2 linked regions of the Caenorhabditis elegans genome follow. The protein of the gene in region 2 interacts with the protein of the main gene of each other region in a pairwise test. Each region holds a gene or a part of one and is shown on either strand. Other genes may lie near its edges.

What was found.
Region 1: the proteins of tba-1 (region 2) and dnj-2 interact in a two-hybrid assay, tested with the Caenorhabditis elegans proteins (one large-scale study listed by BioGRID).

What each region holds. Positions count from the first base shown.
Region 1 is NC_003282.8:11,309,040-11,319,399, forward strand, and holds dnj-2 (DnaJ homolog dnj-2), read right to left. Parts: upstream 4,942-10,360; 5' UTR 4,938-4,941; coding exon 4,820-4,937; intron 4,757-4,819; coding exon 4,543-4,756; intron 4,499-4,542; coding exon 4,300-4,498; intron 4,253-4,299; coding exon 4,155-4,252; intron 4,106-4,154; coding exon 3,907-4,105; intron 3,861-3,906; coding exon 3,675-3,860; 3' UTR 3,395-3,674; downstream 1-3,394. Other genes in the region: znf-207 (BED-type domain-containing protein), read left to right, coding at 1,961-2,001, 2,054-2,180, 2,238-2,463, 2,513-2,827, 2,880-3,019, 3,121-3,297; B0035.3 (Macro domain-containing protein), read right to left, coding at 5,176-5,379, 5,427-5,548, 5,596-5,835, 5,883-5,928; pfd-4 (putative prefoldin subunit 4), read left to right, coding at 6,169-6,255, 6,306-6,437, 6,511-6,672; gspd-1 (Glucose-6-phosphate 1-dehydrogenase), read left to right, coding at 8,382-8,507, 8,561-8,767, 9,184-9,259, 9,304-9,556, 9,615-9,916, 9,978-10,115, 10,168-10,360.
Region 2 is NC_003279.8:9,782,939-9,793,259, forward strand, and holds tba-1 (Tubulin alpha chain), read right to left. Parts: upstream 4,687-10,321; coding exon 4,685-4,686; intron 4,453-4,684; coding exon 4,220-4,452; intron 4,170-4,219; coding exon 3,556-4,169; intron 3,511-3,555; coding exon 2,995-3,510; downstream 1-2,994. Other genes in the region: drsh-1 (Ribonuclease 3), read right to left, coding at 298-1,168, 1,223-1,445, 1,492-1,722, 2,058-2,377, 2,428-2,784; cox-5B (COX5B-domain-containing protein), read left to right, coding at 6,071-6,256, 6,562-6,661, 6,713-6,825.

The sequences.
Region 1 (10,360 bases), on a different chromosome or scaffold from region 2:
AATCAGCTCCTTTAATATATCTAAACTTCTTACATATATCTAAAGTAACTCAATAGTAGTTAAATCTTACCAAAAAAAAGTTAAAAATAATTGAAAACTCTCGCTTACCGTCCGAGTTGATTTTAATCACATCATCCTGATAAACGATTCGAAATCAATATCTTGAACTTTTGTTCCGTTTCGTTTTCAGGACGATGTCATATCTAGATCAACTCAAAATATCATAAGAATAAATAAAGAAAGCAGTAAAGTGATGTAGAATGAAACGAACAAGTGAACGGCCCTTCCCATTCTAAGAGGTCCTTTTATTGGCGCCATGTGTAATAGTGTAATAACTAAGAGACACTGAGAAACAGGTGGATGAGAAAAGGGCGCCGAACCGACTGGCTCCGCCTACTTTTCGGAAGATAATGTGCTCGTGAACGGGGAGTGGGGACGAAAAGGACGGAAGAAGAGAGGAACGGAGGACCAGATGAACGATGATGACTGCCGAATCGAAGGGAACAAAAAGGACAGATTTATATGCGAAGTGGCAGGAAAATTGAGGGGTACGATACAATATGGAAAAAAGCTAAAGAAGAAAAGAAGAAGAAGAAGCAAGGTGACGGGTGGCCAGAAAAAATAGTATGAAAAAAAGAAAATACGAATACCGTATTTCATAAATTGGAGGTAAATAACTATTTAATAGATTTTGTCTGAATGAAACTATAATACTCATAAATGAACAGTATAGCACTTTGAAATGTTTTAGATTTTCAAAAAAAAATTTGGACAAAGTTTCGGTAAATTGCTTTTTCTGAATATATAAATAATTTGAAAATAATTAGAATGGGAAAATTGTAGTTTTATTTTGTAGGGTGATATCCAAATTATGAGTGGCAAAATCTGAATTATCGTCACTTTATTTTTTTCTGCAAACTTTATTGAAAGGTTAGCAATGTACGATACTATATCGTTTTGGCACTTTTCAATATTTTTGGAAGCATTTTAACTTTTATTTCAATGGAATATGAACAATTTAAAAATAAAATTGGAAGAAACCATTTTTTTTTATCAAAAAATGATTGGTGAAAACTGTGTGTTTCAAAATTGTTAATATTCCACTTTTGAATAAGTAACATTTCAAAAAAGTTGATTAGAAAAAATTAAATTGTTACAAAAAAACGACAATTCCAAAAGTTTTGTAAGTTCCTGAAAAACAATTGCAAAATTATTAAGAGCACAAAATGCTGAAATATGCGTTTTTAAATAGTTATGTGTGTCCTTTTGTAACAACTTAATTCAAAATTAATTTTTTAAAGTGTTTGATGTGCAATACTATTATAGAATACCTTCAAGGATGCCGTCATAATAATAAAAGTAACTTTTTTGTGTTACTCAAATATAGGTTACGGTAGCTCCACGGGCATTTTAATGACAACTTACATAAAACTTCTAAACAATAAATTCGAATTATCGATCGGATTTATTTCACTCGACTTCATAAAGTTATAGAAACTAGAAGAATCATTACGACTTTAAAAAATATCCAAACGATTTGTACATATGCAATTGCAATTGTTAAGTATATATCTGATTGAACAGTCAGTTTTTTTTTTCTAATTCTGTGGTATACGTTTCAAAATTGTACATTTCCCCTTTTCATTCCTCCATTTATTGTAATAAATTTGAAAAATGTCTCTTTGTTTCGATTCAGACAAGCTATTTGCAAACCATGGTAACCGTTAACAACGGCAGTAAAATAAGAGGAAAAGTGCGCGGCGGGCTTGCAGAGGGCGTGTAACTCCTCCCCATAATTCGTGCGGGACTCTGCAAAATTGAATTTTCTTGTGCGCATGCGTTCCTTTCGAAGAAATATTTTAACTGGTTTTTACATTTTTCTCCTAATCGAGTTTTAAAATTAGTTGAATTATTCTTTTCTTCCTATTTCAGATATAAATACGTAGATTCTCCATCAGAAATGGGTAGAAAGAAGAAGAAGGTCGATAAACCATGGTGCTGGTGAGTTTTTAAAATAATTGTACTGTTCTTGAAGTTAAACTATTCAATTTAGGTATTGTAACCGAGAATTTGACGATGAAAAGATTCTGATACAACATCAAAAAGCCAAACATTTCAAATGTCATATTTGTCACAAAAAATTGTTCAGTGGTCCAGGATTATCGATTCACTGCATGCAGGTTAATTTTTTTTTGTTCTTGAAAAAAGAAGTCATTCGGTAATCCCACGAATTACAGGTACATAAAGAAACTATAGACAAAATACCGGCAGCTGTACATGGCAGAGATAATATCCACGTTGAAATTTACGGAATGCAAGGAATTCCGTCTGGCGCTTATCGTGGAGCAGCTGACGAAGAACCGGACGAAAAACGATCAAGGATGGACAATGGACCACCTATGCCAACTCCTATGCCTTTCCCACAGCATTTCCCATTTCCTGGAATGCCTCCTATGCCGTCGGGTGCGGAAAACATATTTAAGTTCCATTCTAAAAACGGTTGATTTTTTAGGTCCACCACCACCGTCAATGGCATACGGAATGCCTCCAATGCCATCTGGTATGATGCCACCTCGCGGGATGCCAGGAGCTTATCCTCCGCCACGTGGATACCCTCCAGCGCCAGCTCCTGGCGTGTATATGCCTCCGCCAGGAATGCCTGGTGCATATCCTCCACCACGTATGCCAATAGGTCATGGACCACCTGGTGGCCCACCCATGCCTGGTCCTCCTCAAAGAAGCCGATTTGATCAACCTGACGGCGGAGACAGGTGGGGTCCACCAATGCGAGGAGTACCACGGACGCCACCATATGAAAACGAGCATGGTGAGTTTATGGCATTCGTAAAAGCTTGATTTAGCAAGCTAATAAATTTCAGAACATCAAGATTATCAAGCTCCAGATGACTACAATCAAGGAGGATACGATGATCGGTTTAGAGAAGGTGATCGTGGAGGTCCACCGGGAGGTAGCCGATTTGATCAAGTGAAAGCTGAACTAAAGGAGGAAATCGTCGAGGTATATTCCTTGATTTCAAATAATGGGATTTCGATCGAGCTTTATTGATATTTCATAAAATAAAGTTAAATAAAACTTGTTTTTAATTTTAATATTTTAAGCCTAACAACGGTCCACCAACTACGTCTTCTGGTGCAGCTGCCGCTTCTGCTGCGGCAGTAGTTGCATCTAAACTTGGCTCGAGGACAAGAATAGTCTATCCAGATGATCATTCGCTGTCTCTAGAGGAGCGTCGTGTAAAAATGCTCTTCGAAAAACGCAGCAATCCCTATCACTGAGCACTTCCGAATCTCTTCTTCTTTCATGTCCCGCCCATTTACCTTATATTCTGTGTTTTACTGAAAATTGTCCTCTCGTCCATGTTAAATTATTGAATAATCCATCGATGGGTTTTTATTTTTGAAATTCCAAAAAAAAAAAGCAATTTTTATCAATTGAATAAATTATCACCCACAGTAAAAAAAGATTGAAAATGAAGAAAAAACATCAATATTGGTAAGAAAGAAGTAGATTATGCTCGCAAACTCGGAGAAACATTCGAGTTAAGTGAAAACATGAAATGCTATAAAAATTTGATGATAAAACAGCTGCATAAAGGAATAATAATTTAGAAAGAACGAGTTATAAAATGCAATAAGTAATTTTTAGTAAATATTTAATCTTCATCGACAAACGAAATAGTTCCCGCGTTTTTCATATATCTCTTATACCTTTTGTACCGACCCGATTGAGCCATTTTTTCTTGTTCCGCAGCGTCTCGTTCGGCTTTCCACGTTGCACAGTTTCGTTTCAGCCAGCATTCTCGTTCAAAAAGATCATCAATGTCTTCATCAGTGTACTTCTGAAAATTAAATTATTAACTTTTGATGATAGAAAAAAGTATTTACCTGATCGAATTCCATTTGTGAAACTCCAATGTACTTTCTAATGAGATAAAGCTTGGCGTCATCATCATATTCCTCCTTTTGAATTGCAAATCTCCAATACCAAAGTGCTGTCCATTTAATGTATCGGAATATCGTTAATGGGAAAATAATTGTGTGCCATGCGAGAGTATCGTAGATGGATTCTCGTTTGTAGCCACCCCTAAAATGTAGCTCAAATTATTTTACGAAAAATCTCAAGAATAACTGACGTGACATCAAGATTATCAATAATTATTTGCTTGATAACTTCATCATTGTCAACTCCTTTGTTCTTTTTTAATTTTCCATTCCGATCCATTTCCAGCAACTGAAAGCTAGATATTAATTACAGTGCAAGCTTAAAAATCGACCTACGCCTTTATCAATTCCATCTTTAATTGCCATATTGCGGAATTTTCCAACACCGGTTGCATATTCGATTGCTTCTGAGAACTTGTGTTTTGCAGAGAGGAATTGGAAGAGTGAAATGATAAGAATAGTTCCAACAATGACAATTCGAAGATCTACTTTTGGAGCGGCGCGAAGACGATAATATTGATAGTAATTGTAGAATCTTAAATAAAGAATATTTAAGTGTTCATATTCAGAGCGTCATACCTTTGATCAGGATGATCGAGATAATAGTCGTAATTAGTTTTTGCTTCATCATCCTTAAGTGTTTCATAAGCAGTGGCAATTACTCGGAAACGTTCTTCGGCGAGAAGCTTCTCTTCCTTATTCTTGACTCTATCTGGATGATGCTTCCTAGCCAGAGCTCTATATGCTTTAGCTAGCTTCTGCTTATCGAATTCCTCACGATTGACTTCGAGTACTGTAAATATGAATGCATTTATAGTTTTAACGTTTTCAGATCTTCATGAAAGTTTTGACTCACCATCATAACAGTTTTCTAATCCACAATAGAGCTCTGGAGCAAATCCGACCGATTCACATTCCTGGACGAAAAATGATACTAGTAAGAACAAGATGGGCGCCGCAATTGCTGAGCGCATTCTGCTGAAAAACAAAGATTGAGAAAAAATTTAAAAATGAGAACTGAAATATGAATCACCGAAAATCGGAAAATGAGAGAAAAACACAAATAATCATAGGTGAAATGTGACATGTTTATGAAGCAATCAACACCGGAAACAATGTAAACATTACGGATCAAAACCGATCTGATAGTGAGATTATGGAGTCAACATAAAATAAAAATAGTCATGTACAGTAAATGTGCAATAGAAAGTTTTAGGCGATACTTTGATCCTTTGATGCAGCATAATCACCGAAATACTTATTGTAATGCTCGTTGTCAATGTCAAGGAATGTAACAAGTACAATCCGTTCAATTGTATCATTCTTTTCAAGATACTCGGTCAGGAAATTGGTGACGGTTTTAGCGGCATCGTCATTTGGATAACCGTACACACCAGTAGAAATGCAACAGAAGGCCTGAAAATATATAATATTTGCAGTTATTTTTCAGATGAAACACTTACAATACTCTTCATCCCGTTCTCGATAGCAATATCTAGTGATGTTCTGTAACATGCAACAAGATTTTCACGCCGTTCATCTGTGACATTTCCATATACTTGTGGACCAACTGTGTGGATTATTTCTGAAAATTCCAATAAAATACGATCAAACAATGCTATAAATACTTACTTTTGATGTGATTAATATTGCATCCAGAGGTAATGACAGCATCTCCGACAGCACATCCGTTGTATTGCTGGCATTCTTCCTGTAGTTGCTTCCGTCCAGCTGCACGATGAATTGCACCATCAACGCCACCACCTCCAGCTAATCGACTGTTTGCTGCATTGACAATTGCGTCGACGGAAAGTTTAGTAATATCTCCATCCCAGACACTGATACGGCCCAGAACGTTTTTGGCAACCTTGACTGAAAATTGTGTACTATTTTAGAATTATGAAACGCCTGAAGCTTACATTTTTCAAAGAGAGTTGGAATTTCTGAAATTTTAGCTGCTGCCATTTTTTATCAGCCTTAAATTTGAACTGATAGTGACTTAAAAACAAAACAAATTAGGATAAAACAACGCGTGGAAGAAATTGTTCACGAGGACTACACGCAACATGGACTAGAATTTCGTGCGGCCGTGGCTGAGTTTTCTTATTTTTATGTTTCTCTCTCCAGAATTTTCTGTTTAATATCTTTTAATGTTGTTTCTTCGTTGTTTCTTTAATTAAATCTTTGAATTAAAAATAATTTAGAATGCCGGAACACACGAAAGTTTCTGCTGAAGACCAAGCGCTTCTCAATAAATTCGCTCGGTCATACCAAACACAAACCCAGTTAAAAGTACGTTTTTTTTTAAATTTTACATTAAAGTTTCTCTTCTTTAATTTCAGGCAGACGTTAAAGAAGCTAAAACACTCATTGACAATATCAATGAAGCAAGTGATGAAATTTTGTTGCTCGATGATGAGGATTCAGCATCAATTCCATGCAGAATTGGAAGCTGCTTCGTTCATTTCAATGGGGTGAGCAGTTTTTTTTTTAATTTGAATTGAGAATTAACGTTTGGTTTACACGAAAGTAGTGATTGGTTTTCAGGATAGTCTGAATGAGCATTTGGAAGGAAAGAAGACAACAGCAGAGAAGGTTTTGTCTGAGAAAACCTCCGAGTTGGATGCAATCTCAGCGGACATGGAGCAAATCAAGAAGGTTTTGTACGCCAAATTCGGAGATCAGATCAATTTGGACGCTGAAGAATAATCTATAAATTCTAATTTCTTATTTTGCTCGATTTTGTATCTTTTCCGTTGAAGCTTTCATATATAAAAATTATCTCAATTTAAAAATTGCTTTTCTCACCTTTTTCACAACGTGTGCTCACTGTTCACTGTTTCCGCGTATTTTGCTGATGAATTTTTTCGACCGATTTTCCTTATCACGAATGGCACCACCCACTTGTGGGTCACACCAGATCCTAAATATCAATATAGTGGACGGGAAGAGGAAGGTTTTTTCGTGTTTGGTGTTCATTTTAGTTTACATGTTTTGTTTCCCATTGCTCTTTATTTATAGAGGAGACGCTCGCCCACGTAATATAATAGCATTTTGGAAAAATCCATTATCTTTCAGACAATCTTATCATGATTTCCACAATAGACTGGCTAGAATGTAGCATTCTAAATATTTGAATTTAACAGAAAATATTCAATTTCTCTTTAAAAAAATACTTGAAAATTAATTATATTCCCAAATTGGCAACATTCTTTCCCGATTGTCTTTCTGTCCATTTAATTTGTCTGCCCTTTCTTTTCTCACCTTTTTTATCCGTTTCTTTCTTTGTCACCTCCGAAGTTTTGTCAGCATTTTCCGTTTTTTTCTCCTCATATTTTGTTTGCACTTTTCACCTTCTAAAAAAATGATCGGCAGAGACACAAATAAATGTGGCCATTCGTGTGCTCCGTTTTCCAAATGAAACCCGATTGGCAGAATTTATGGTTGAAAATGCATAGTTATTTAGGAGTTGCAAAGAACAGTTTTCATTCTTCTTTTTCTTTGTCTTCTTGTTAATTTGGTAAACTGATCAGACGTTAATCAAATTGATAAACTTTCAAGTTCAGTGATTTTTGATTTGTTTTCTGAAAACGAAATTAGTTTTTTCTCTGATAGACTAAGTCTTCGAAGAATTCATCTTCCAGATAAAATCCAAAAAAAATGTGTTCCAGAATATCCTAGTCGGTCAACTAAAAGTCAAGAACCATAGATTAAATCTAGAGTTACAAAGTTTCGTCTCTTCTCCAGAGTCAAGTTACTCGAGTTTTTATGTTTCCTAGAGAAATACATTGTTTCTTTTCATTGTCGATCAATGTCGCCCAGAGAACATTATTTGTCATGGTTACCACTCGCACACACTACACAATTTCATTCAGTCATCATTTTTTGTGACCCGAGAAGATTTCAGTAAATATTTTCATGTTTGTAAAGAGACTGGCGCATCCACTTTTCTCTTACTGTTTCTTTCTTCTCTCGCTGCCCTGTGAAAAAAATGGAAGTGGAGTAAAAAGTGACCGATTTATAGTGTTGTTCCAGTTGTTCCAATTCATTTATATTGTAGACTGCGGTTCGCTACTAGGTATATGATTCGAAAGGAAAAATTACATTTTTTAGTGCTAGAAATTAACATTATTCCATTAAATGTAACTAGCTGAAAGTAAGCAGTTTATTACTCTGCCAGTAAAAAAGAATTGCGCAGAATCATTATGAAGTACATCAATATATCAATTAACGTATTTCTTTTTGATTTTTCGTTGTATAAATGAAACAATAATCTCACTTTTAAATAACATTTATGTGTATCTAGATGGTTTACTTTGAAACTTGTAGTTTCTACTATTTACCTCTCAACACGAGTAATTTTTGTGAATCAATGTTCGTCATTCTCACTTCAAAATCTAGTTTATAAATTTACAGAAATGGCATGCAAACGTCATTCAGTGTCCGATCCCATTTCGAAGGATCTCGTCGAGTGTCTTCGTGAATCAATGCAAAGAGATCTCAAATTTGAGACTCCGTACGTTTTCGTGATATTTGGAGCATCGGTATGACATCTATTCCATATATATCGATTATTAATTATTTAACATTTTTTCAGGGAGATCTCGCAAAAAAGAAAATATACCCAACACTGTGGTGGTTGTTCCGTGACAACCTTTTGCCAGTCAACATCAAATTTATTGGATATGCCCGTTCCGATCTGACAGTTTTCAAGCTTCGTGAATCTTTTGAGAAAAACTGTAAAGTTCGAGAAAATGAGAAATGTGCTTTTGATGACTTCATCAAGAAGTGCTCATACGTTCAGGTAAATCTACATCTGCTAATAAATAGGCGTGAAACTTTGTTCCAAAAATACAGTGCTCGGTCTCGACACCACAAATTTGTGTTAAATGCGAAAACGTATCACCTTTAAACAGTACTGTAGCTTCAAGCTTTTGTCGATTTCAGATTTTAAAAAAATTGTTTTAAAACTGAAAAAAAATAATTGCAACACATACATTTTTTTTACAAATCAGGTAGGAAAACTACGAAAACCAACAAAAACTTGAAACTACAGTACTCTTTAAAGGCGCGCACTTTTTTGCATTCAACAAAAATTGTGGGGTCGAGACCGGTTACCGTATTTTTCGCACAAAATCTTGTTACTGGGTAATAAAAATTTGAATCGAAGCTTTTTTCTAGAAACTTTGAACATAAAAAGCACCATTGACATTTTTTCAGGGCCAATACGACACTTCTGAAGGATTCCAACGCCTTCAATCTTCAATTGATGATTTCCAAAAAGAAAGCAATAATCGTAGGTTTAGAATTAAATTTCACTCAATCTAAGCAAATTTATAGAAGCCGTCAATCGTCTCTACTACCTCGCTCTTCCTCCATCAGTTTTCAACGTGGTTTCTACGGAATTAAAGAAGAATTGTATGGATCATGGTGATTCATGGACACGTGTTATCATAGAAAAACCATTTGGACATGATTTGAAATCATCTTGTGAACTTTCAACTCATTTGGCGAAACTTTTTAAAGAAGATCAAATCTACCGTATTGATCATTATCTCGGAAAAGAAATGGTTCAGAATTTGATGGTTATGCGGTAAGAATGTTTTTTCAAAGTATTTGAAGAGATTTATAATTTTATTTTGAACTTTCAGATTTGGAAACCGAATTCTCGCTCCATCTTGGAACCGCGATCACATTGCATCAGTTATGATCTCATTTAAAGAAGATTTTGGAACTGGTGGCCGTGCTGGATATTTTGATACAGCTGGAATTATCCGTGATGTTATGCAGAATCATTTGATGCAAATTCTAACTTTAGTCGCCATGGAGAAACCAGCAAGTTTGAATGCTGAAGATATTCGTGATGAAAAGGTCAAAGTGTTGAAAGCTGCTAAAGTTGTAGAATTAAAGGATGTAGTAGTTGGACAATACATTGCCAGTCCTGAATTTGATCGTGAGTTTTTCAAAAATTACAATTTTATAAAAGTTTTGATTTTTAAATACATTAATTTTAGACCCAGAAGCATCACAAGGATACAAAGATGACAAATCAGTTCCAGCCGATTCGACTACTCCAACGTATGCTCTTGCTGTTGTTCACATCAATAATGAACGTTGGGAGGGTGTTCCATTCTTCTTGCGTTGTGGAAAAGGTAGGGAATATACAAAAAAAAACCGAATTTTTAAATTTCAATATTATTGCAGCTCTCAACGAGAAGAAAGCAGAAGTTCGTATACAATTCAAAGAAGTCAGTGGAGATATCTATCCGTCTGGTGAATTAAAGCGATCCGAATTAGTGATGAGAGTGCAACCAAATGAGGCAGTTTACATGAAACTGATGACCAAGAAACCTGGAATGGGATTCGGTGTTGAAGAAACTGAACTTGATTTGACTTA
Region 2 (10,321 bases):
TAAAATACTGTACTATTTCTCTAAAAACAAATAGTTTTAAATGAATGCAGCGCGAAAAGTGTGCGCAATACAGTAACCCATTCTCTTCTAATTCACAATTTTTCTATAATGTCCTCATTTTCATGGGAGACAGTTTAGTTTTTTATAACAAAATAAAGTTGCCGAAAGAACAAAAAACGAAAATTGGAAGTTGGTTACTGTACTTCTGATAGGCCGCCTTACGAATGATACTAAATTTTATATTCTTAAGTTACACAAAATTAAATTTATCTAAAAATTTTAGTTTCAATCTCGAACCTCGTTTCTTTTCTCGCTTATCTTCTGCTCCGTATTTTCGACGATATCCACAATTTGTAATCATATTCTTGACGTGATCAATTGGAGTACCATAATGACTTTTAAACGACGAATGCATTAACGCTAATTCGATGACTCTTCTATCGTTGAATTTATATTCGATGACTTCTTCAAATACATCCAATGAAAAATTGTATCGAATATGATGGCATGCAAGTATTGTCATGACAACATGTGCTGCCACATCAGGCTTCAATCCTGTTTCAATGAATCCAGCTACTGGCTCCCGAAGCTTCAGATTTCGAGCTGATCGATTCTCTCTTTTCAGATGTTCCAGCTCGTTCTTCGTTTTCTCAAAATCTTTATTATAAACACCACTGCTTTGTTTCTCTTGTATCATCTTATTTAATGTTTTCTCGAGAAATGCGATTCTTGGAAGCGAAATTGCTGTATATGTCTGTGCACGGATCGCATTATGTACAACATATACTTCTTTCTTTTCTTCATCTCTCTCAAACCAATCGGCTCTGATAGCAGAAGGTTTGAATTTTGTATTGAGAACAATCGATTGCTTATGCTTCGAAGTATTTCGAGTGAACTGATCAATTTGAGCATCACAAAGGCGGTTAACATCTTCTGGGCTCATTATCTCTGAACTTCCTTTGCTCGTGAAATATGCAAGAACTGTTTTTGAAGACCAAAGTTGAACAAGATCATCCTTTGTTTGAACAAAACGCGGCATAATATGGATCATTGGACAAGATTCAACATCAGATGGTATATGCTTCGGACGTAGTTCAAAATCGAGCATTTCAAATATTTCATGAAATATATACTCAAACAGCATGTCACAATCTTCTGGGTCGAAACACTGAAATTTAAAATTAACATTTAATATTTTGAAAAGAAATATTTTTTCACTCACCTCATCAGGCATAAATTCTTCAACCAACTGAAATTCATAATCCATACTATATTTACAAATTGGTGCTCTTGTCATACAATCCGGAAGTGGTGCATGTGTGATTAATGAGAATCCTTCAAATTCAAATTCCTCTCCATTTATTGCCATATGTGTTCTATAAAGTTGATTTTCGCTTGGCAAAGGTGTGACTCGAAGGGTGTAATAATGCAGGTTTTCGCCATTGCTGAAAAAAAATCATTTTTATTTTTAAAATTCTAAAATAAAATTACCTTTTCTTGCAATCTATAGCCTTATCTTCACCTGCATAATATCCATGTTTCAGGCCACAAGTTTTTATTGGTTCTGGACATCTACACTCTGGTCCTTCGTTTCCCAAACCTTTTTCATTGAATGAGATATCCGGATGAATTCCATTTGGATGAGTCTTCTTTCGATCAATTCCTTTTTTCAAAAGTGTGATTTGCCGTTCCTTTTCTTCGAAATTCCGCAATCTTTTCGCTCTTAAACAAGAACAATTGAAAATTACAAGAGGCAGCATTTTTTTGTGCCAAAAATATGGTAGCCGATATTTTTGAATTTTCATAGTTTTCCCACAAAATCATGTGTGATTTAATGTTTCATTTCAGTTTGAAAAAAAAAAACAAATCTGTATCGAAAAATCGATGAAAATTCTGCAAAAACACAAGTTTGAAAGTACAGTACTCTAAAGGCGCGCACATTGCATTCAACAAGAAATTGTCGTGTCGAGACCAGACACGGTATTTTTGCAGCAAACATCGAAATTTTTGCGTTTATCTTAAAAAATTAACATGGGTATTTTAGAGAAGCTGCATACTTTCTCTGTTGATTCCTCCGATTACATGTCTGTTTCTCATCTTTTACTTCTCCGGTCTTGTCCGCTTCAGGAGCTTGTCTGTTTGTTGGCTCTGAAGTAGAAGCTTCATCCTGAGAATCGTTCGAGTCATCAGACACATCAGATGCCGTAAAACTTTCGTCTCCTCCTTTCTGTTTTGGCGTTTTCCGGCCTTTCATTGAATGACATGGATGAATTATATAAGGAACATCAGCTTGAAGTCGACGTTTTGTTTTAACAGTTTCCAGAATTTTAGTTTGAAAATCTTGAAGTATTTTACTTGTTGTTGATTTAGCTTTGATCTGAAATAAAAAACCACATTTTTATAAAAACGAAAACGGTTAAATCGTACCATCATATATTTTTCAGCTTCTTCTGCTTTTATAACAACTCTATTCGATTTTATAAGCTCTGCCGAATGTGTAGAAACAACTGGAGGATCTATCATATAATTCGTCTCATAATCTTTTTCTGTTAATCTTGGAGAATCTCCAAATGGCAATGCTGACGTTGATTCAGTAGGCAATGGAATTTTTTCAACAGTATCAGGTGGGGCACTTGAAGTTGATGGTTGATTTTGAAATCTTCTTCCTAATTGCTGCATCATTTCTTCCTTGTGACGTTCCTGATACTCCTTCTGATATTTCTTTCTTCGAGCCCGCTTGTGTTTCGGGAAGTTAAGCGTCATTGAAATCTTTTCGTCCGACATCTAAATGAAAATCTAAATCTGTCTACAATTTCAGATGAAAACGTTAACTATGGTAATTGATTCGAAATAATTTATCGTATACAACACAAGCGATGAGCATAGAAATTGGAACTCTTTTCATTCAAAATTTAGAAAAAAATAAAAAGAAGCGAATTAAGCAGAAATTGATGCGAGTTCAGTATTATGCAGATTGGAGCAGGCGGCACGAGTTTAATACTCTTCTCCTTCCTCCTCGTTTCCTCCCTCGTTCGAGTCAGCTCCGACCTCTTCGTAGTCCTTTTCGAGAGCAGCCAAGTCTTCACGAGCCTCGGTGAACTCTCCCTCCTCCATTCCTTCTCCGACGTACCAGTGAACGAAGGCGCGCTTGGCGTACATAAGATCGAACTTGTAGTCCAAGCGAGACCAGGCTTCAGCGATGGCGGTGGTGTTGGAGAGCATACATACGGCACGTGGTACCTTGGCGAGATCTCCTCCTGGAACAACAGTTGGTGGCTGGTAGTTGATTCCGACCTTGAATCCAGTTGGGCACCAGTCAACGAATTGAATGGTTCTCTTGGTCTTGATGGCGGCGATGGCAGTGTTGACGTCCTTTGGAACGACATCTCCTCTGTACAAGAGGCAAACAGCCATGTACTTTCCGTGGCGTGGATCGCACTTCACCATTTGGTTGGCTGGCTCGAAGCAACTGTTGGTGATGTCATTGACAGAGAGAGCCTCATGGTAAGCCTGAAATCATTACTTTTTTAACAATTTGACATTAAAAATGTATACCTTGTCAGCAGAGATCAGTGGAGTGTACGCAGCCAATGGGAAATGAATTCTTGGATATGGGACCAAGTTGGTTTGGAACTCATTGAGATCAACATTGAGAGCTCCATCGAAACGGAGGGAAGCGGTGATGGAAGACACAACCTGCGAGATGATGCGGTTCAGGTTGGTGTAACTTGGACGGTCAACGCTGAGGTTTCTGCGGCAGATATCATAGATAGCCTCGTTGTCGACCATGAACGCACAGTCGGAGTGCTCGAGGGTGGTGTGAGTCGTCAGTATAGAGTTGTATGGCTCAACGACGGCAGTCGAGACTTGTGGGGCTGGGTAGATGGAGAATTCCAGCTTCGACTTCTTTCCATAGTCAACCGAGAGGCGCTCCATAAGCAATGAGGTGAATCCAGATCCAGTTCCTCCTCCGAATGAATGAAAGACGAAGAATCCTTGAAGACCACTGCAGTTGTCAGCGAGGCGACGGATTCTGTCGAGAACAGTGTCGATCAGTTCCTTTCCGACGGTGTAGTGACCACGAGCGTAGTTGTTGGCGGCATCTTCCTTTCCGGTGATCATCTGTTCTGGATGGAACAGCTTCTTGTAGGTTCCAGTGCGGATCTCATCTGAAAAAAAAAACAAATTTGAATTTGAAACGGTTTTTATTATTGCTTACCAACAACAGTTGGCTCAAGATCTACAAAAATCGATCTTGGAACATATCTTCCGTTTCCAGTATCGGAGAAGAAGGTGGTGAAAGATTCTCCATCGGCTTGTTGGTCTGATGGCATAGTTCCATCGGGCTGGATTCCATGCTCGAGACAGTAGAGCTCCCAGCAAGCATTACCGATTTGGACTCCGGCTTGTCCGACGTGGATGGAGATGACCTCACGCATGTTGAAAACGAACCTGAAAATTAACGGAAATTAGAAGAAATGAAATCATAAATGAACGCGGATAACATATGGCGTAAAGTACGAATGATAAAATCATAGGAGTCGATCAACTAGGAAACAAGGTCAACTCAATTATAAATAATCCTGTTGACAATTCCGGCTGAATAGTTTTCAGGGCAATAAACCAGATATAAACTTGGTACAAGGTTTACAACAAGTAAATAAAAACAAAACCAGGAACTTACATTAGTTAACGAGATGGAGAAGGTTTGGGATATAAAATTTATGAGCCTCCAAATGAAACAAACCCAATTGCATACATATGAAATGCTAGCTCTCAAGAGTATTGCGAAATAGCGAAAAAGACTCGGACCGTTGAAAACAGAGAGCAATTACGCCCATTGCATCGTGGTACATACACAGCAGTCAAACCCTATTGGGTTCTATGCATCTAGTCAAATGAGAAATGAAAGTCGGGCTGGGAAAGAAAACAGAGCTCTTCGTCATTAGATATTCTGGTGCGAGGAAAGGGTAAAACAACTCAAATTGGAAGACTAAAGACGACAATCTTTTCTGCCTTGCTCTAGACATCTGTCACTTGGATGAAACTGGTCAGAGAGGCAGTGCCGGGTCAGAGAGAGGAACGAGCGACGCTTGTCCGATTGGCCAAGGACAGCGGCGACCCTATTCCTCGGTGGACATGACTAGTAGTGGCCATCTGGTGTATATTGCGAAATAGGTTCTCCACTAAACCTTAATCCGATGTTCATGATATAGACGCTTGGATGTCCTATTCATGAAAATGCAAATATTCATCGGGACGATTCAGATTTCAATGCAAAAAATAATAAAACGAAGTTTAAGTTTCAGTAAATAAGCTATGATAAAATAAATAAAAATTAAAAACATCACAAGCAATAGCACGTAACTAAAGTAGAAGCCGAAATGCAAATCTATAATGATTTTATTAGCCGCTGGAGAAACGAATTCCCTAAAACTAAAGATTCTATTGAACACACAAGTTGCAATATAATCAAGAAAATTTGTTAACAAACAATAAAATGTGGCTCAATATTTACAGCATGTGTAGACAACGAGTCAACTTTCAAACAACTCCATTTTAGGAGCAAATCGAAGAGAGAGAATACGAGCGATTGAGAAGCGAAAAATGAGAAAGAATGACAGCCATCTCCCAATCCTATTGTCGTCTGTTTCGCGCCAAAAAAAGTGAAAATTTCTCCCGAGCGCGCCTAGTGGACGAAACGAATTCAAATCCTCTTCGCATTACGGTGTTTCGTATTGAGGAGCGTCTTGTGCGTTGCAACAGACGCGCGTAGTGTATGCCGAGTGTACGCCGAGTGTACGCCCGCCACTGAGGCTCCGTAAATCGTGCCAAGCGTTTTTGGCTCTTTTCGGCTATTGTTCGCATTTTCAAGGGTCCAATCAGAATATAAGTGTTCTTCAAAAAATTTCTGATTTTTCAAGAGGTTTATCTTTTAATTTAACCCTATTTCAATAAGGCCACCTTCCTTTTTTGATTTTTAGACTCCCGATCGATAATTTTCTTCATTCGAAATCGAATTTATATTTAGTCGTTTTTGATACTTGAGAAATACAATTGTATTTTTCAGATGGCTCAACTTGCTAAGACGGCTGTTGCCGCCCTTTCGAAGAAGCTCGTCGCTCCAGCTGCCGTGGCCCGTCGTACTTTGGCCACTGAAGCCTCGCCAGAAGACTACGGATACTACCCAGATCCACTTGAGCACGCTACCGGACGTGAAAAGAAGATGCTTCTCGCTCGTCTTGCTGGAGATGATGTGAGTTTTTGTTAATAAAATTTAACAATTTTCCCAATAATTTCCAAAGTATACCCCATGATGTATCAATTTAGCTAATTGTGAGCTACTTCGCTCTCGAGATTTTGTCTTGAAGTGTGAGTCGTATTGAACGAACTTTGTCGAAGCTGATCTGAGGGAGATTTGCAATTTGAGTCGTTATCGTATCTAATACTGGTTTTTAATGAGAAAGTGTTTACAAAATGAAACCCATTTAGTAAAAGTGGCAAATTATCTACTATTTCTTCATCTTTTCAAAGTTAAATAATAAAAGTTTCATTCTTCAGCGTTACGAGCCAAAAGTCTACTATCGCGCTGAGGCTTCCACCAAGCAGAAGCCAAATTTGGTCCCATCTCACTACGACTTCAGAATCATTGGATGCATGTGTAAGTTATATTTAAAAGCATGATTGATTCAATTAAACAACTATTTTTCAGGTGAGCAAGATTCCGGACATGTCAATTTCATGACAATTCGCAAAGGAGATCCAAAGAGATGCGAGTGCGGACACTGGTTCAAGGGAGTCGACGCCGACCCAGAATCCATCTAAACAATTTTCAATGTAGATTATTGTTCCGACTTATTTTAGATCGCTCCATCAGTGAAAATAAAACGCGCTGGTTTGAAGACAAACCATTCTGTTTCTAGAGTTGGTTCAATTCGTTTCTTTGTTTTTCGTCAAGATGTCTCCTATTTCTGTAAATTAATTTTTTATCAATTTAACCTACATTTCTTACATGAAAAAATGTTCTTCGTAGGTTTTCCCTGACAATCTCCTGGATTAGGTGGTTAATGTTAAAAATGAACAAAACAGGTGGAAACAACAATCAATGATGCTGTTTCTCCCGTCAACCTCCACAGAATCTAGCTGATAAAAATCTGAGTTCAGATGCCTCGCTCCTCTCATTTTGTTATTGGTTTTCAAAATCACGTGCTGTCACTAGCACATACAATTTTGTTTTTAAATTGGCAATTGTTTGCCTTCATTTCAACAATTTTAAGCTTTCGTGTTGTCGTAGATCGAATTTATACATTTAGAGCCCAGGCTTGAGCATTACATCAAAAAGTAATAACTCACTTCTTCAAAACATTTCCAATTTTCGAACCATTAGTGACTTCCTTTTTCATTTTATCATTTAAAAACATGACGCTAGTTACGTAAAACAAGTTTCCGTACTATTTTGACGAGAACCTTACATTTGTAACATCCTATTTTGAAGTTTCAAAGACTAGAATTTTGTTATTTTTTCGGGTCTCGTGTTCCACTATCGCTTTACCCAATCAGACTGTTTCTCTGCGTATTTTCTTTTTTTTTAAATTCTGATTTTCAATGATAACAGAGTTTCGTGGTCAATGGGAAAACTCGTGTTTGCCCAATTTTCTTGTTCAAATTCAACTTTTAATAGAACTTACATAAATAACAAATCTAGGTAATATTTAGATTGTTTCTTATTAAAAAAAACATAAATTAATTAATTTTAATTAAAAACAAAAGTTAGGAGATTTTTTGCCAGTGTTCTATGACGCCTGCGCTTCATAAACTCTAAACGAGCTTTCTCGCGACAAACCATGGCGCAGCTTGCTGCCAAATTAAAATTACCCCTCCCTCCATTGCCATCTCAAAAATTCAGAAAAAAAACGGCGTTACAAGTTCAAAACCAGTAGGAACTCAGTATTTGTGTGTCTCGAGGGTTGATTCTCTTCTCATTGACAGCCTTCTCGCATGTGCGTGTGTCTGTGTGCGCATCTTTTCGTCTCTTTCTCGTCAAAATCAATATTCTCCGTGAGACGAAATAGTGTAACAGGATGAAGAGGGTGGGTAGAGATGTTAGAAAGCTCCTGCTGAACTCGCTTTGGCACTGGAACTCTTTTTCATCGTGAAGAAATTCCTTTGAACTATTTTTTCCTACTAGGGTTTTTTTCAGTTAGTGTTATTCAAACTCATATCCATTTTATATGATTTTTATTTAATCGTAACAGAATTTACAATGAATCAGCTTTCCCCCCACGTGACGTCAATTTGCCATCTTGTTATTCGTCGTCTGACTATTCTGACAACGATAGAGTATCGAAAATCCCCACGAGAAAAATTACTAGACGCTGAGAAAAAAGGAAACCTTTCTCTCATTTTTTTGTTTCGCTCAACTACTCTCTAACATTTTCTTCGTTTTCCGAAACGGAAATCTTGGATAATCGGTTGTTATGGCCCGTTTCGGTGATCCAAACAATTTTACTTTTTCATACATTTTCCATAAAAGCCTCCAAGCTTCAAAAATTGATTTTTTTCCAATTTTATCAAATTTCTCTTGCCTTAATGATTAAATAATTAATTAAGTAATATAAGTTGAGGAATGTGTTTTAACAAAAAAAAAATGGATCGTAAATACTGTCAAATTTTTTGAAAATACAATTTTTCTAAATATTTCTAATAATCTTTTTTAATTTAGCAAAAATTAAAATGTTGAATTAATTTCGAATTCCCGCAAAAATGAATCACCTAGTTTCGAAAATTAAAAATTCCATGTTATTGTTTTTATCTCAATTTCTTTCAGGTTATCAAGTTTCCCTCACGGAAAATTGATGAAAATTTGGCAAAAAATGTTTCAAATTAAATATTAAAAATATAGATTAATGCGAGGGAATTTCGGAAAAAATCATTCTAAAAATTTAGAAAAATGTATAATATGAAATCAAATATGTCTAAAAGTTTTATTCAAATTCATTATTCAATTTAAAATTCCTGAAACAGTAATCCAAAAATTGAAATAATGCACCGTTCACTTCATCATTCTTTATATTTCCTTGTTTAGCTATGCGAAAATAAATTCGGTGAAATCGTCATAATATGATTCATCTTTGAAACGTTGCTTTCTATTCAAAAGTTCTCTGTGTTTTCTATATAGAAAGTAAGAAATTGCTCTATTTATACAAAAAAAAAACGTTTATTTTTCTTTTCAAATGCAGCTTTCTCTTCAATTCCGTTCCACTCTTCACACACATAAAACTTTTTTATACGTTTTCATTGGCACCTGATGCCAAAACGCCCTCATCTAATCTTCTAGATCTCTTCCTACGTCATCATATCCATTTGTGAATACATTTAGTACGATAACATAAATAATCTCATCGGAAATACATCAAAGAGCCATATTTTATTGCATTGGAGTATGACCACGAAAGTCAGAAAATGAAAAAAATCTGCGTTTTTGGTGATAACAGTAGTTTCAATCAAGGGTGCACTAAACATTAAAAAAGGAAAAAAAAATCTAAAAGTTGTTTGAACTATTCTATTGATCATCAGAAATGCTTTATATTACACACCTGATTGACTTACTGCTGCATCAGTGATTGTTTTAATTTAAAGTAGATAAATCTGATTCTTCGGTTTATTATTTTGAGCTGTTTTTTTTAAAAACAATTATTCATCGAAATGTGCAAAAAGCCTTTTTGATTTTCAATAAATTAATTTGATGGGAACCAATTCTACATATTTTCAGTTTTTTGTGTGCACCCTTGGCTTCAAGAAAGTTGTGAAACGGCTCTTGGATATTTTTGATTTCTTTGGACCCCCCGAGAAACAAGGGAAACAATTGTGTTCTTTAGAAAAATAGTTTTGTTTTCTGGAATGGCTAATTTTTGAGCCATCTGTAGAATATGGACACTTTTTTGAAAATGACTTTTTCACTTCTTCAGGCCAAATTCACTTCTTCTCATTGATTTTCCTTAATTTGCATCGACATTTCCAGTATTCTGGTTGTCAAAAAAACCGCCAGAACCCCGATATTTTGCGATTTTCGCGCCGAAAACCTTTTTGCTTTGTTGTAAAATCAAAAACAATAGGCGTCTTTAAAGAGTAGTTCCAAACTTTCATTTTGTGGGATTTTCGTATTTTTTCGTCATAAATATGCGCATTTATTTAAAGAAACAATAGAAAACTATGAAAAATAGATAAAAATTTCACAGCAACAAAAGTTTGAAACTACAGTACTCTTTCAAGGCACACACATATTTGTTTTTTTTTACAAAAATAGAGACACCACGGTTTC